Macaca fascicularis: one gene and its partner. The main gene of each other region encodes a partner of the protein of the gene in region 2 in a complex. Links are inferred from orthologs where the notes say so. Each region holds a gene or a part of one and is shown on either strand. Other genes may lie near its edges.

Region 1 (3,575 bases), on a different chromosome or scaffold from region 2:
GGGGGGAGGCGGTGACGGACGAGCAGGGGCCTCACCAGGGGCCACAGCCCTGCTGCAGCAGTGGGGGCGTCCAGGGGTCTTCCACAGGGAGCATGGAGGCAGGGTGTGGGCCGGGGCTGGCGCTCAGCCTGAGGCAGCAGCGGCAGGGCCGGAGGGCTACTGGCAGCTGGGCTGGACAGGATCTGGTGACAGTGGGATGCAGGAGGGTCAGGGAGAGGAAGCATTGAGGCTGACTCCCGGTCCCGGCTGGGGCTGCTGGATGGCGGGGCTGCCGGGCACCCACAGGGAACAGAGGGTCCAGGGAGGGAGAGCACGTGTCCCGCCCAAACGCCCAGCCTCAGCCCATTCAGGCCAGTGGCACCTTGGGCCAGGGGAGAGTCCAGACTGGGGAGTTGGGGAGGCCAAGGTTCACACATCCAGGTGTGGGCCAGCCCAATCCTGCTGGGACAGCTGGTCACAGCTGGGACTGGAGGCAAGGCTGCCCTGAGCAAGGACAGTGAGCTGTCCTGAGCCGTTGCTGGGGGCTCTGCTGGTTTCACCTGCTGGAGCCCAAACCCAGGGGTTCTGAGTGATGACCGAACTCCAGGAAAGAAGGCAAGGCCACGACACAGAGCCTCACACACAGGCTCGAGAACACAGACAGGGGCTGCAGCAACTTCCAGGACAGTTTATTCCAAAGCTGTGGACAGTCCACATTAACAAGAAAGAGGTGACTCGCATGGAACCTGAAACACGGACGCCTCTCTTCCAAGAAGGGCTGCGGCGATCAGGCCACCCAAGGCAGCCAGTCCCTCAGCAGAGCACGACGGCTAATGCTGCCTGGACCGCAGGGACTTTTTGTTCGATTTTGAGATACCAGCCTCCCTCTGCTTCTCAGGGTCGAAGACTTCTGTAGGCAGAAAAGGCAGGAAAGACAGTGAACGGAGGGGCTGGCAGCACAGGAGCACCAGCTCGAGCCAGCAGCTACGTCTCCTGTGCCAAGGACTCTGTCCTAGGTCTACACCATTCTTCACTGCCAACCCTCCCCAGCCCGTGAGGCAGAGTTAGCCCCAATTCAGAGAGGAACACACTGAGGGAGCTGCGGACATGGCTGTCACATCCCCCTCCTGAGAGGGCTGCCAGAGAGGGAGCCTTGTCTAGACAAAATGCTCATAAGCGTTGGAATTTCTGCTGGGTTCTAGAAAGTCCTCTGGAACGGTGCACGCAGCTCAGCCTTTACTTCCTGCGGTGGCTGCTTCTAGGATTCAGGCTGCTAATGCGGACCCCCACGCACCCTGGAGCCTTTCAGGGCCCTGCCTCCAAGGGCTTCCCCAGCACCAGGCCCTGCATCCTGCTGGCCCAGCCCTTCCCATGAGCACCTCAGGGCCCACGCACCTGGGATCTCGTGGGGCCAGTAGTCGTTGCAGTGGGGGCAGCGCGGTTCGGCGTTTGACTGGAAGTACTTGGCCACGCAGGGTAAGTGCATCCTGATCCCACAGGTTTCGCAGCTTTGACCCTGAAACAAGAAAGGCCAATGACGGCAGAGCTGGTGCACACCTCTGTGTTCTGCAAACCTCCGGGGAAGCCACAAGGAAAATGGGCAGCTGGTGGCATCGGGTTATCTTCCAGTCCCCAGATTAATACTGAAAATCCCAAACGCCTTAGTGCAGGGGAGTCTTTTGTTTGCTTGTTTGTTGCAGTGGGTTTTACCAAACAATTCTGAACACATGAACGCAGTGACAGAAGCCGAGGGCTGGCAAGCTCCCGCACTCAGATCCTGCAGGTGGCATGTGGACAGCCACAGCTTTTCAGAAGCTTATTTGCTGATGTGGATCAAAAGCTTTCAAAAAAAAATTGCACTTTGTCCCAGAAACCCCGCCCAAGGAAATAATCACCATGTGCCCAAGGATACAGGTGTACGAGGCCCATGAGAGCAATTGCAATTACAAACAGCTACAGCTGCAAAACGACAGAAACTGAAAGACACATCAGTGTCCACGCTGGTTCAGTGGTTGCAAAGCCCTGCAAACTGGAGTAGACCACTGCGGAAAGCAGCAATTGATAGAGACACTCCGCCAAATACTCTGCCACAAAACTGCCAAAATAATGCAGGTTGCACAGAACACTCAACCTTCCTGAGAAGAATAAAGTAAGCGAGAGCCCTTGGACCCCAGCAGCAGAACCAGGGAGGAGAGAGGCAGTGCGTCCCTGCAGGCCACCGTGGGGAGGCATCCTCTGACACGTCCTGGGAGATGGCCTCCAGGAGCTCTTGTGGGAGGAGGCGCCGGCAGTGCAGGAGGGCTGGGTCCAGAGCCAGGATTCGGGAAGTACCTGTGCAGAGCCCCAGGAGCTGAGGGCCCGGCAATGAGCTCCCATGCCCTGCCCAGCGGGTACCTGGATGAGGAGGCTGTGACAGATATTACAGATCTTCACCGCGTCGGGGTACGTCTCCCGGATGTATTGCTCCATTTCCAGGATGGCCCGGCCATGCAGGGTGAACTCCCCTTCCTTCTGCAGGGACACACGGGAGGTGGCCACCCTCAGCCAGGCCCTCTCCCCATTCACTACCTCTGTTCCCTCTGTGATCCCACAGCCCTGTGCTCAGGAAGACACAAGGGTCTAGGCACCTTTGCACCAACCCCAGACAACGGGCATCAGCCACGTCCCCCTGGCAGAGCCTCAGCAAGGGAAACTGAGGCAAAGGCCCAAAAGGCATGGAGGCACAGCTCCCCGACACCGCCCTTTTCTCAGCACCTGTTGTGCCTTCAGACGTGACTGCTCTGTCTGCACAGCAGCCCCGAGCGAGGAAGTCACAGCCCTCCTGCAGATGAGGACGCTGAGGCCCACAAGGGGTCAGTCTCCCCAGGGCACAAACCCGAGCACCCACTGCTTCCATCCGCCACCCATCCCACTCCCAAAAAGCAGCATCCCCGGTGCCTCCCAGCATTTCTGCCTCCAACTGCAGTAGGGACCCTCAGAGATCATTTCCGGCCACATCACTTTACAGACGGAGCTGGAAGGAGTCTGGAGAGGGCAGACGGGCCCCATCACACCAGGGGCAGTGGAGCCTCCAACGGAAGCCAGGCCTCCTGGTTCCCACGCCAGGGTGCGGTCACCCATCATGCATCCTGAACACCCTGGGAGAACCAGGAAGCACATGAAGAACACAGCTCCCCAGGCGGACCCGCCTGCCAGGTCACAGGAGAGAGGCAGCACTGAGGGAGACCCAAGGGAGGCAAATGACACGGACCCAGGACACGGACCCATGCAGGCTGATTCCAGTTTCTCCACAGTCAGCTCATGCATCGGACGTGAACCGCGCCAGGAGATGGCGTCACTGAAGCCTGCGAGTCACTCGAGTGCTCAGCTGCCTTTCCTGTTATTTTCTAATTTTTACAAGCAAGAGCTGTCACTCCCGTTTTTGTTTTTTGGTTTTTTGGTTTTTTTTTTTTTGAGATGGAGTTTTGCTCTTGTTGCCCAGGGTGGAGTGCAATGGCATGATCTTGGCTCAATGCAACTTCCGTGTTCTGGGTTCAAGCAATTCTTCTGCCTCAGCCTCCAGAGTAGCTGGGATTACAGGTGTGTGCCACCACCGG
Region 2 (3,650 bases):
CTTGTAGGTGGATGTGGCAGTTTTGGTCTGTTTAACTGACAGAGAGATCCACCAATCTTCCCTTACAGTGTCTATATTTGATGTTATACATAAGAAAGTCTTCTCCGCCCAGAGACTTGACAAATATTAATTTAAGGTTTTATATTTAATGCTTTAAGACTTCTAGAATTTATTTTAGAATAAATAAATTCTAAATTTATTTATTTAGAATTTAAAATATGGAGCTTGGCCGGGCACAGTGGCTCACGCCTGTAATCCCAACACTTTGGGTGGCCAAGGCAGGTGGATCACGAAGTCAGGAGTTCGAGGCCAGCCTGGCCAACATGGTAAAACCTCATCTCTACAAAAAATACAAAAATTATCCAGGCATGGTGGCAGATGCCTGTAATCCCAGCTACTTGGGAGGCTGAGGCAGGAGAATCACTTGAACCCAGGAGGTGGAGGTTGTGGTGAGCCGAGATCACACCATTGCACTCCAGCCTGGGCAACAAGAGCAAGACTCCGTCTCAAAAAATAAAAAAACAAAAAAAGTAAAGTACAGAGCTTAACCTGATAAAGTAATTTTTAAAGAAATACCCAATATATGGTTACTTTATTGATGTATATTAGAGTGCATTTTCCTAAGTGTATTATGCTTCACAATAAAAAAAAGTTAAAAAAAAAAAAAAAAAGGAAAAGGTTTGAAAAACAAACTGAAAATAATCTCGTGCCTCATGCCTTTACAAAAAAAGTACTTTATCTGGTCAGATCTCATAGTACTAAATTATTTTAATAACCATTTAACATAAACATCCAGTTAGAAATACAATGTTCATACTGAGGTGCAGCTATCTGTGCTAGGACAGAGGTTGGCTCAGATTGATACACTGACTGATTAATTGATTTTGAGACGGAGTCTCACTCTGTAGCCCAGGCTAGAGTGCAGTGGTGTGATCTCAGCTCACTGCAACTTCTGCCTCTCCTGCCTTAGCCTCCCAAGTAGCTGGGATTACAGGTGCCCGCCACCACACCCAGCTAATTTTTGTATTTTTAGTAGAGACGGGGTTTCACCATGTTTGCCAGGCTGGTCTCAAACTCCTGACCTCAGGTGATCCACCCGCCTCAGCCTCCCAAAGTGCTGGGATTACAGGCGTGAGCCACTGCGCCTGGCCAGAATAGAATTTTTTAAAAAGACAACAAAGTGAGCTACAAGGTCAGTCTCTGTGTGCTTTTTCTTTTTTTGGTAAATTCATCAAGGAACAGTTTCAGAATTGCAGGTAACCACTATTCAAACTTGTCAAGAGACAAAGAAAGGTGAATAAAACATAAAACCAAAAAAACCTAAACCTGGCTGGGCTGGATGGCTCATGCCTGTAATCCCAGCACTTTGGGAGGCCGAGCCGGGCAGATCACAAGGTCAGGAGATCCAGACCATCCTGGCTAACATGGTGAAACCCCGTCTCTGCTAAAAATACAAAAAAATTAGCTGGGCGTGGTGGCGGGCGCCTGTAGTCCCAGCTACTCGGAAGGCTGAGGCAGGAGAATGGCGTGAACCCAGGAGGCAGTGCTTAACAGTGAGCCGAGATCGCGCCACTGCACTCTAGCCTGGGCGACAGAGTGAGACTCTGTCTCAAAGGAAAAAAAAAAAAAAAAAAAAAGCAAAACCCAATCATATTCATATGGTTTTGAAATATTCTCAAAGATAGACCAAAACATGCCCTCTCGCCAGGCCTAACTCAATTCCAGCTGAGCTCTGCCGTCACAGAGTGTGCTTCTGTCCAGCCCAAGAAAAAGGTCCCCGGTCACTGAGAAGGATCTAGAACACCAGTGAACAGAGGAAAAACGGCTATTGGCAAATGACCCCAGCACCCAGCATCTTAAGACAGAACGCTATGAGATTTTCACTCCAAGCCCCCATCCAAAATTCCACCACATAGCTCTCCTTTCATCTGTTTAATTTGGTAAGATCTCTCTAGAGGAATCTGAGACCAAAAAAGAATGAAGTGAAATCATCTGCATATGGATATAAGCAAAGTAAATAATTATATAACATATAACAGAACATTTCTTATTCAGTCTGTAGCTTTGAACTTACTAGAGTTTCAACATATCTTAACATGTCAAAGGAACTCAGGTCTGAGCGCAGCTGCTTTGCTTTCTCTTTGCCCAAATCGGAAGCCAAAACAAGAAAGTGGGCATCTAGGACTGCTTCTCTTGCTCGGGACACTATGCAAAAAAGAAAAGAAAATATTCACATTACAAAATACACGTTATCCATAGATATTTTCCCTACATTTCCAACTACTTACCAGGATTTCCCACTAGACAAACAAAAAAAAGAAAATCTCAATAGGCAACCGACCCATCTCCTTCTAAAACTTGCTCCCCTGCCCAACTCACCACAATCTCTAATGAAAGCTGACCAGTCTTCCTAAAAGCCAGCTTTCTCTCTAGTTCTCCTACTCCTGTTAGCTGAATCACAATCTCTTAAATAACCCCAGTTGAGCAAAACCCCTGTCATGTCTAATACTCACTTTTCCCTCTGACTCAATAACCCATCCTAATCACGATGATCATGTGTGCCGATGTAAGGACAATCAAATTCCCACTACATGCAGGGCCCTGTGCTTGGCATGGTGGTTTGTGAACAGCAATAGGTAAGTTGCTAACGTTGCTAACCAAAATCATGGCATGTGCTAGGCTGGCATCAGGAGGCTCATGCCTCTGTATGGCTTCACAGGCAACCCCAGCAAAGCCACCCAAATGAACAGTCTACAGGCAGCAAGTAGGGACCCCTGAGGATGGATGCTCAAGAAAGGCTTGACAGAGTACATGGGATTTAACAAAAGCTATGGAAAAAAAGATTTAAATTAATGGAGAAACAGGCCGGGCGCAGCGGCTCACACCTGTAATCCCTGCACTTTAGGAAGCCGAGGCAGGCGATCACTTTGAGCTCCAAAGTTTGAGACCAGCCTGGGCAATGCGGTGAAACTCCGTCTCTAAAGAATCAAAAATTAGCTGGGCATGGTGGTGCACACCTGTAATCCCAGCTACTCGGCTGCTGAAGCTGGAGAATCGCTTAAACGTGGGGGGCGGAGGTTGCAGTGAACCAAAATCATGCCACTGCACTCCAGCCTGGGCGACAGATTTAGGTGTTCCCAGACTACTTTTCATACTCCCTGTTGCCTGCAGGGTCTGATTAAGCAACCCCTCAGCCCCACTGTTGCCTTTTGTTGACCCTTCATCTCCTGAGTATCCTGTGCCTGCCTGCCCCATTCCCTTCTCCTTTCATTTATTTATTTATGTTACAAACTGAGACCATCAAATCCATGAATGCCAAGCGTCTATTGTTTGGTGAGCAAACTAAGGCTCCATTGACTGAATAATTTTGCCCTAAAATGTTGCTTTAAATACTGGAAATAGCTGAGGAGGAAATGATGTGGGGATAAAGAACTGACTAGATGCATAGTAAATATCAAGGGAGTGATTGAGTCAAGCAAGACTAACAGCGAGGAGACTGAGAGTCCAGGCTATGAAGGGAAGACCAAGCTTAAGAGGGTAGTGGAGGGATTTAAACAGGTGAAGGAGAAAGACCCGGTTCCTGAAGGTTTTGATGAAGTTTAGCAAATGCAGTAGACTAAGATGGGAAATGGTAAGGAGGCTTTGGTCAA

Evidence for each region. Proteins that work in one complex are often made in the same cells at the same time.
Region 1: NSMCE4A (region 2) and NSMCE1 share a complex: the UniProt entries of both Homo sapiens proteins name them as parts of the SMC5-SMC6 complex. The link is inferred for Macaca fascicularis from reciprocal best matches to the Homo sapiens genes NSMCE4A and NSMCE1.

The regions. Positions count from the first base shown.
Region 1 is NC_088394.1:26,306,395-26,309,969, forward strand, and holds the end of NSMCE1 (non-structural maintenance of chromosomes element 1 homolog), read right to left. Parts: intron 2,491-3,575; coding exon 2,374-2,490; intron 1,496-2,373; coding exon 1,375-1,495; intron 890-1,374; coding exon 810-889; 3' UTR 648-809; downstream 1-647. UniProt on the Homo sapiens protein: RING-type zinc finger-containing E3 ubiquitin ligase that assembles with melanoma antigen protein (MAGE) to catalyze the direct transfer of ubiquitin from E2 ubiquitin-conjugating enzyme to a specific substrate.
Region 2 is NC_088383.1:130,965,222-130,968,871, forward strand, and holds part of NSMCE4A (non-structural maintenance of chromosomes element 4 homolog A), read right to left. Parts: intron 2,206-3,650; coding exon 2,075-2,205; intron 1-2,074. UniProt on the Homo sapiens protein: Component of the SMC5-SMC6 complex, a complex involved in DNA double-strand breaks by homologous recombination. The complex may promote sister chromatid homologous recombination by recruiting the SMC1-SMC3 cohesin complex to double-strand breaks.